2 linked regions of the Caenorhabditis elegans genome follow. The protein of the gene in region 2 purifies or fractionates together with the protein of the main gene of each other region. This does not show direct contact. Each region holds a gene or a part of one and is shown on either strand. Other genes may lie near its edges.

Region 1 (4,177 bases), on a different chromosome or scaffold from region 2:
GATCCGTTCTATCTCCAGACGATTTTCCTCGTCTCCAGTCGATTTTGCGCTGAAAATGGGATATTTAATGGAATTGTTTTTGTTTTTATTAATAAATAGGAATAAATTTACGAAAATCACAAAATTTTCAATAAAAAACACCAAAAAAATGAGAAAAAATGAGAAAAATCGACGAAAATCGGTATAAAATCAAATAAAAATAGAATGAAAATATTCAGCTCGTAAACCCACACGTGCGGCACGGTTTCGTGGGCGGGGCGTCTCTGGCGGGAAAATTTTGCGTTTGAAAACTCACATATAGGCATCCAATGGATTTTCGGATTTTAAAAATTAATATAAAATCAGGGAAATTTTTTAAAATTTTTTCACATCGATATTCGGTATCAGGGGCAAAATTAGAGTCAGAAACATATATTTCCCCACAAACTCTACTCCCCCTTTAAAGTCACAACACAATTATTGCAGAATTGAACAAGAAAACACATTCGAGAATGTCATCGGAAATAACTCCAGAAAGAAGATTAGCAGACGATTAGTTGGGGGTGTTAGATGATGTTTTTTTGTGTGTTGCCTCAAGTTAATCTACTTTTAGATGATGTATTTCGATATTTGTGAAAACAATTTAATTAAAGCGGTTCATAATTGTTCAATTGTAATAAGAAAAAACCATCAATAAATCACTCATAAACAGCAACCACGATAAATTGGCGATGTTGTTCACTAAAAGCACTGGCCACGCCAACCCACGAAAGTGATTGAACGTCGAGATAGTTCCAGGTACCATATTCTTCCGCTTCATCCCACCATATGTCGGCAATTGACTCGGTTACACGAGACCCCATCCAGATGTTCATACATCGGTTGCGGTCACTTCTGCAAGCTTGAAAGTTTTTTCCATGGTCTTGCACATACAGTGTGTAATCAAAAGTTAACTTTCATCAGAATTGTGTTCAGTTTCAGCTTAAAATTTCAGTTTTTATTGATTTATAAATATTTTTAAATTCAGAATGAAGGTTTAATGGATTTCTCTTGTCTTGTGTTTTTAAAAATTATTTTTATTTTTAAATTGCGAAATAAGAGTAGTATTGTTGTCTTATACATACATACAATATACGCTATTCAAAAATTCTCCACAGAATTTGAAGTAATGTTTCAGTTGCAAATTCATACCATTTTCATGGTCATATTTCAAATTTTGACACTCATATTCCAACCATTATAAAAACGTTTGCATTACCGAAATTCCCCTCTGATCGCCAACATCCGAGCCCACTGGGCAGCAATATCAGCTAACCGGACCGATGGTTCCAATGGAGGGCAAGCAATTGTACTTCTGATTCTGTTCATTCTATCAATAAGACAGTCTAGTGGCTCTCTCCATTCCACTCGCTGAGAGCTGGGAGGAAGAGTTCCAGCAGGATATGGTGCAGCAGGAACTTGATGATGGTGCTGATGAGAATCTTTTTTAGCGGTTCTGAAATTATAACGATTAATTTGAAAAATGAGTTAATAGTTAACCGACTTTAAAATTGATGTTTTCCGTACATAAGAGTCAGTCGTTTTCCATTCTGGGTTCAAAGTTGAATCATCACTTCTGCTATATTCTCGAATGATTTGCGTTGGCGCAACACGATCTATTCCTGTAAATTGAAATTTTTTTGGTAAGTCTCTGAAATGGGGTTTCCCTTCTGTTTAGCAGGTTAGCCTTGGGAAATTATGATAATGTTGTTTTCAAAATCTATATACAAAACTCGTGCACATTTTGGGTCTATACATTAACAACACACAGAAGCATTACTCCTTTTTTAACATTTTGAAATTTATGCTTTTTGTCACTAATGCAATGTTTTCTGTTTGATAACTGTAAATGTAAAATTACAAATCTCATATAAAATACCAATATTGTATTGTATTAAACCTTTGTTAAGCGTTCAGACTGATGGGCAAATTGCTATCGAAAATGTTATCAACTATTTGCACTAACTTTTAACTGGATATTCTCTTTCCACAGGTTCTCTAGCTCTCGGAATCCTGTAATTGACTTCCTGCCTTTTTGGTTCATGAAGCACATCGCGATAGGTGTGAACAGTGTCATAATCCGCCTCGCGGAGCGTATTTCTATTATTCGAGTAGTATCGGTTGCCATCAAATGGAAGTGTCGATTGTTGTGGATTATCATCAAAGTGCGTCGTTTTCTGTGTATAATAACTAGTCATCATCAGCGGGTTTTTCTACTTTCATCTTCCCCCCCCCCCCATTTTTTCATCAGTCACTCACCACATCCGTCACAGATAGTAATTGTCCGCCCGTTGAGAATCTCTCCATTCGTTTTCGAGTAATTGTATGCCTTTGTTCTTCTCGGTTCGGAACCAGCATGGGAGGGAGAAATGCATCCAGGTTCATATTGTTACTATAAAAACATATGAGGGACACATTTTTTTATGGAGAGAAATATATAAAGTAAGTTGTTGAGAGAGTAAATGTGTGATTTTCTTGCAGACAAGATTACAAATAGATAAAAGAGCAAAGGAGCTCCTGACATGTTTGAATCAATTAAAAAAGCTTATATAATCAAAACTTTGAATTTTTATCAAGTTCAATTGAAAAAAGAGCTCATTAATAATAGCAAACGTCTCAGTTGAAAAGCAGTGTTATTCAAAGAAATTAGACTTAACAGGGGAGGGGCTAGTACGGTATTTTTACCGTTTTACTAGGATTTTACTGTTGAAACACTCGGAATTCTGACGTAGAACAAAAATTTAGCACTGTTCGAGTATAGAACTAGACTAATTTTAATCATTTCTCAGATAAATGGTCCCTACAACACTATTAAAATTATTTTTAAATAACATTATTATTTAAAAACGTACTAAGAATAATAAATCACAAGAAAAACACCAAAAAAGTTGAAGGAATTCCAAATATTTCCCATTTCAAAATTGTGCAAAGAAATGGAAAAAAAAGAAGAAAGTGAGAAAGTGATGGCACGACTGTTCAAACATAAAGCATCATTTCATTTTTGACGTTGACGCCTTCTTTTTATTCAATTCAAATTCCATCTGGAAATTTTATGAATGTGTCATCGTTACAATCATCGCCATGTTTACCATGTAAATATGCAGTTCAGTAAGAGAAGATGTGCATATATTAAGAAAAAGTGTTGAAAATTTGGAGAAAAAATGCAGTAATCCAAATTTTGGGTATTTCAAAGGGTCCTAGGTAATTTTGGAAAGCAACTCATTATCTCAATTTTGGATATTTATTTTGAAAATCAGTTCAAATTTCATTTGGCACAATTCACGATTAGAAGGGTAGTAGCATCATTGAATTCTTTTGTTGAATAAAATTATACAAAGTTCTGAATAATTTTACTCTCTTGAATCACAATGCTCTCTGAAAACAAGTTCATTAGCGCCGGCACTGAACTAAGTTCCAATCTTACTTGATCTGACAATGCATCGGTTAATACTTTTTATAATTCATCTTATTTGTCTCGAAGTTTTTGTTAATGTATTGAATCACATGAAACATGTACAATTAAATGATATAACTCTTTTGATACTGACAACATTTTTTTCCTGGTTATACGAATGTTTATTTTTGCAATTTCAGCACCATAAGATTCCATAATAAAGCTAATTCATTCATGCGACATTCTTCAAGTTTACACGATTTTCGGTTTAAATATTCATTATTCGTTAATTATTGGTAATCACGGTCATAAAGCGAGATAATACAAAAAATATCATAGATATTGAATCACGGTGGTAAAGAGACACAGACTGGAAAATATCAAATACAGATTATCAGGGAAAAAATATCATCGACAGTGGGAAGAAGTAGTTGTTGTAGTAGTAAAACAGATGAGTTAATCACATTGAATCGCATCGGGGACGAGGAATAGCTATGCGAGAGTATCACAGTCGTGGGCATCCTGAAGAAGTCGGGACTGTGAATGTGTCGCCAAAGCTGCACGTCGTCTCCAATCACAGAATTTTCATCACATCAGTTTTTCATGTTTCGAAGAAGGGATTATTGGAACTCGAGAATTTCTGAATTTATTTCAAATTGGGATCAATAATTGGAAAAAAGTTGTTTTGAATATTATTTGAAGATATGAACTGTTGTTGTAAAATCATTGACCAAAACTTTGTAACCATAATTTTTTACATAATTT
Region 2 (5,300 bases):
TCTCAAAAAGCAATTCAAAATAATACAGAGATATTACAGAAATTTTCGGATTTTCCACAAAAGTACGGTAGCCGGTCTCGACGCGACAAAATTTTGCTAACAACAGTAAGTTCAAGAGGAGTGTGCCTTTAAAGATAAGAGTACTGTAATTATTCGTCTAATTGCATATGAAAAATTAATAAAAGACGCAGCAACGAAGATCGGAAATTACAGTAATCTTTAAAGGTGCACATTATTTTGCCTCAAACATAAATGTGGTCGTGTCGAGACCGAGTACCGTTTTTGTGGAATGATATTTGCAAAATTTGGCATCTAGGTAATATTTTAATCGCAGATCACGAAAACTGACCTAGTTTTGAATGTTTTCTTCGCATAAGTGCATCCGAGAATCCACTGGAAAACCTTTTTAACTTCAGCTAAACCAAACCCAGAACTTCCGGATTCTTCGCTCTTTTCATTACCTGAACATTTACAAATGATTAAATCAAACTGGCAGCTTTCTGAAATGCTCACCAAACATGATATCGACCGTTTCTTTTTATTGGAAATGATGAGGAAAATGAGTACAACAAACCAGCGGATAAAATGTGAGAAATAAATGAATTCTATGAAAAATTGAACAATCTATGAAAAAAGCAAACATGATTAAAACCCGTGATTGAATAGGGGGAATTATAGGTTACTGGGTTACGTACATCTATATATATAATTTGAGCGTTACGAATTTTGGCACAAAATACATGAAAAATGATGAAAATTGCAAGAAAACAAAAATACAAATAGGAGAAGTGCAAGAAAATTTCGGATACATTTGTTTTATTTCGGATCAAAATGGAACATCCGTTTCCACTGAGCCATTTGAATCGGGATCATTGCTAACACATCACTAGATTCTAGGTCCGACGGATCTACGTAGCTATAGTTCTGAAAATATTGATTTTTGATCGGTCAGTTTGAAAAAGAGAGTTACCTGTCGCACGAGAAGCCGTCCGTCGGAATGTTTCAATGTCAGTTTCTCAAGATTTCGCATCGGACTGTGATCTCGATCCTAAAAATTAGTTGTTAGGATGTTTCCCAGATTAAAAAAAAGTATCTAACCTGTCCCATTCCAACTCCGATAATACTCATTGGATGAGGCGATGCATCAACTATTGCATCAATTGATCTTTTCATGTTAAGTGCATTGGCAGGGCCACCATCTGAATAGATGATTAGAACGAAGTAGAGACCAACATGACGACGAGATTCAGCTTTTGCGAATCTGAATACAAATTTTACATATCAACTGAAATCTCGCATAACTTACTTTGACATAAAATAAATAACTTCTGAAAAATCTGTTGGTGCAAATGGTTGAAGACCCATAACTGCAGTTCTATAAGCACTTAGCAGTCCTCCCAAACCTTCTACACGTGGATCAGTTGGAGTTCCATTCTGTAAAACATTTAATATATGGATTATTGCTTCAACAAATACTTACTAAACAAAAACAGTGTGATAACTGAAGAGCACCTCCAGGAACTTGAACTTTTGCACCGAACCCAAGAGCTCCAATATGAGGATTCTGAGGATTTGGAAGATAAGCAAGAAGTGGGGGAACTGTTTGAAGAAGTGCTTCGAGATATGGAGATGGTTGATGAGGATGGATGTAATGAAGAGAAGATTGGTTTACAGGATTTCCATTTGATGCAGTCAAATCGATGGCAGACGTTAATTGAATCTTCACACTGAAAATTAAATACTTATTACAACGAAAAAAAAAGTTTGAAAATACATTAATTGGTTTTTTGTACATTTTATTTGTTCAGCTTAAGTATGTCAATTTTATAAATATAAAATTGAATATAAAGCAAAGTGTAAATTTTCAAAGTGTAATTGTAAATTTAAGCATGAAAACTATTGTTATGAACCGGAAAGTGTTCCATTCCAAAACCAGTTTTTCTTACTTATTTTCCATCATTTGAAAAAATGTCGGACCATTTTCCAAGCTCAATTCTTTCAATTCGATGCAAGTCTTTTCATGAATTCGTTTCCCATTAGGCTCCATCAGCTGAAAAACTGTTAATTAATAAATATATTTTAAACAAAAAATCATACCATGTAAGAATTAAAATGCCCAACACCTTGTTGTAGTTGTGTGAGAGTAGTTGTACAGTGTCCAACGAGTTGATCATCATGATTTGGTGTGTAATTATATACATGAAGTTGAATCGATGATTCATTAAAATAATTAAGCAGAAACAGAGGAATACTAAATGCCGCCCATTCTGGATATTTTGTTTCTCTCAACATTTCCGATTTGTACAACATAATTGTCCGTTCTTCAGTGGGAATTGAGAGAATGTAATACAGTTGAAGTGGAATAACATCCGAAGGACTGTGCAAATAATTTCCAGAAAACCTAATGCGGAGAAACTGGGAATAATAATCTGGAACTTTTCCAACAATTTCCAGAGAACATGGCGCAAGTGGTGAAGCGATAAGGAGAATGAGACGTCCTCCACATGCGAACATCATAGAAATATCGAAATCGGCAGTACCCATTGATCCCATAATTGTCTTTGTGGAGGAGTTTAGTACATTTCTGAAATATGAGTTTTTAAAGAAAAAATTATTAATTTTATTGCTATTATTTTTCAGCTTCCGATTGATTTTCGGAAGTAAAACATACATGGTAACTCGATATCTTTGCATTTTTTCAATCCTGTAGTTTAGATTTAACTTTTCTGTGAAAAATGCGTCACTTTGTCCATAAATCGCTTCGGTTTCAGCAACTTTTTCAACAACTTCCATGTCCTTGTCCAAACTGAATATTTTGAGGCTAACGCCATCGGCTGATGGATAGAACCGAGCATTTCTTAAAAATTAGTAATTTTAATAATGTTTAAATAATGAATATACTCAAAATCGTTAAAATGCTCACCGAATAGCGAAAGTTATCTCGATTCCGTATGCCGCCATTTTGTCGGGAGAAACGAGCAGCATGCACACACTTGAGGTCGTTTTTACACTTTTATATGTCGTCCGATCGATGACTCATGAATTTCGCCTGTCAAAAAGACAAAATTTATTATTTTTATATGATATAAAATCTAAATATGCGCCATTAGGAAAAACAACTGAAAATTTGAGAAATTGTCTACGAGGAGTACACGGAAACACAGTATATTTCGAAAGTCGCTGTGAGACACAGGAGTGTTTTTTTGAATAAAGTTCTTTGCAACTACAAACTGTATTTCGTGGCAAGACCACTCCTGCTAGACGCGTGTTCCTTGAGCCATTTTTAATTCTTTTTGATTTTAAAAAGTTGTATTATTTTTTCTAATGATTTTTAAAGCGTATTTCATAATTTTTTATAATTTTTTGTGAATAAAAATACGCTTCCAAAAAGAAAATCAATAAAGTGGTGAGATATTTCAAAATATAGAACTTTCTTGAGTGTCTTCTCAGCAAACACTGATGCCGTTTCCTAAAACCAGTTCAATTTTCTCATCCTTTGCTATTTCTTGAAATTCGAGGCAAAATTGTGTGCACTTCCTCGTCACCGTGTTTGCGGACTCTCGTGAGCACTTCTCTTTCGAATTTTATGCACTTCTTTCCCATTTTTGCCTATTTTCTGCCTTTTCCTTTCAATGACGATTAAAATTTCATATTTTTAGTAATGGCTCGTGGTCAACAAAAGATCCAATCGCAACAGAAGAATCAAAAGAAGGCTGATGCCGCAAGAAAAGCCGGAATCGACCAGAAAGCTGCAGCTGCCAAGGTGATTTCATTTCAATCGGAGTGTTTTCTGCAAATTCATTTAAAACGATTTTCAGGCACTCAATCACAAATGTACCGTCTGTCTTGCCATGATGCCAGATCCAAAAACTTACAAGCAACACTTCGAGAACAAGTAAGCGAATTAAAATGTTCGTGAAATTAAAAAAACAAATTGTTGCAGGCACCCAAAGAGCCCACTTCCAGCAGAACTCGTTGAAGCTTGAGCACCCAGTAATATTGAATTCTTCGAAAATGCACTCCATGTCACCTCTTTCAGTCCCAAAAACACTTTATTTTCTGTACCGCACCATTTTCGATCATAATCATTTTTCTAAATTTTGAATGGCTGCAGTTAATGAAATTTATCGAATTATGTTTACTTTACCAACTTTCTTATTGTCTTGCAAAGTTTCAATCTTAATTTATCTATCTCAATTTACGCTGCTTAATATTTATCACTCAAACAAAGTTTTAGAAGCAAACATGATTCTCACTGAAGTCAGCCAGCCAACTGAAGGAATCAAGCTTGCCACAACCAATGTACAGGCTTTCTTCAAGATTGACTCACTTGGAAACGGAACCCTTTACATTACCGATAGGTACGGTTTTCTAGTAACAGTGAAGAAATAATGTTTAATTTCAGTGCAGTTATCTGGATCAGCTCGGCCGCTGGAACAAAAGGATTTTCGGTTGCCTATCCAGCAATTGTTCTTCATGCCATATCCACTGACGTCTCCGTTTTCCCATCAGAACACATATTTGTCATGGTTGATCAGCGGAAGTCAGGTATGCATTATCGGCAATTTTCAGATTTTACCTCTAATTTTTAGTACGAAGACGGAGACGTGCGCCTGTTCTGAGGACAATACAGGAAGATGACGAGCAGAGAGGTACACGTCTTCGCCTTCTTTTTCAACCGGATCCTTGCTAAAATTAAGATTCTTTGCAGGCTTGGAACTTGCTGCTGCAGAGCTCGAAGACGAAGAAAGTGATGATGATGAGGAAGAACCAGCACTTGAAATCCGTTTTGTTCCAGATGACAAGGATTCATGTGAGTGATAAATAAAACAAATAAACTATTTTTCGTTTTCAGTAAGCCAAATTTACCATCAAATCGCTGTTGGACAAGAGGAAAATCCAGAAGAAGACGATCCTATGTATGACGACGAAGAAGAGGAAATGGAAGAAGAGATGGGTGACGACGGACAAGGACAATCTGGACAGTGGTTCACAGCTGATAATGTAAGATATTTACTTGAGCGCTCCCCCAAGCGCTTGAGATTGATAGTGAATTTTCCAATTATTACATTTTCCAGATTGATCATATGCAAATGAGTGAGGAAGGTCTTGCCAATATGCAGAGAATTTTCGGAAGAGGCGATCAACATCAACACCATCATAACGAAGATGAATCTATGGAATAAACCAACACATTTTCATTTTTCATAATATCTTACCCCGTTTTCTCATCGATCTTTCTTTCAAAATATTCCATGTTGTTATTGACCCGTGTTTCACAAATTTTGAAATTTATTGAA

What was found.
Region 1: the proteins of cpna-3 (region 2) and C04C11.1 fractionate together in Caenorhabditis elegans (co-fractionation; one large-scale study listed by BioGRID). This does not show direct contact.

Annotation. Positions count from the first base shown.
Region 1 is NC_003284.9:14,018,825-14,023,001, reverse strand, and holds C04C11.1 (SCP domain-containing protein), read right to left. Parts: upstream 2,413-4,177; 5' UTR 2,404-2,412; coding exon 2,278-2,403; intron 2,217-2,277; exon of another isoform or gene 2,196-2,216; coding exon 1,985-2,195; intron 1,641-1,984; coding exon 1,523-1,640; intron 1,475-1,522; coding exon 1,238-1,474; intron 961-1,237; exon of another isoform or gene 874-960; coding exon 678-873; 3' UTR 608-677; downstream 1-607.
Region 2 is NC_003282.8:9,094,591-9,099,890, reverse strand, and holds cpna-3 (VWFA domain-containing protein), read right to left. Parts: upstream 3,050-5,300; 5' UTR 2,986-3,049; coding exon 2,924-2,985; intron 2,858-2,923; coding exon 2,672-2,857; intron 2,585-2,671; coding exon 2,098-2,584; intron 2,051-2,097; coding exon 1,947-2,050; intron 1,728-1,946; coding exon 1,481-1,727; intron 1,435-1,480; coding exon 1,307-1,434; intron 1,262-1,306; coding exon 1,099-1,261; intron 1,049-1,098; coding exon 971-1,048; intron 925-970; coding exon 817-924; 3' UTR 525-816; downstream 1-524. Other genes in the region: gldi-10 (AMP-activated protein kinase glycogen-binding domain-containing protein), read right to left, coding at 350-461, 514-520; znf-706 (Small EDRK-rich factor-like N-terminal domain-containing protein), read left to right, coding at 3,662-3,763, 3,819-3,895, 3,944-3,986; icln-1 (Methylosome subunit pICln), read left to right, coding at 4,246-4,361, 4,406-4,548, 4,593-4,652, 4,712-4,813, 4,856-5,004, 5,079-5,186.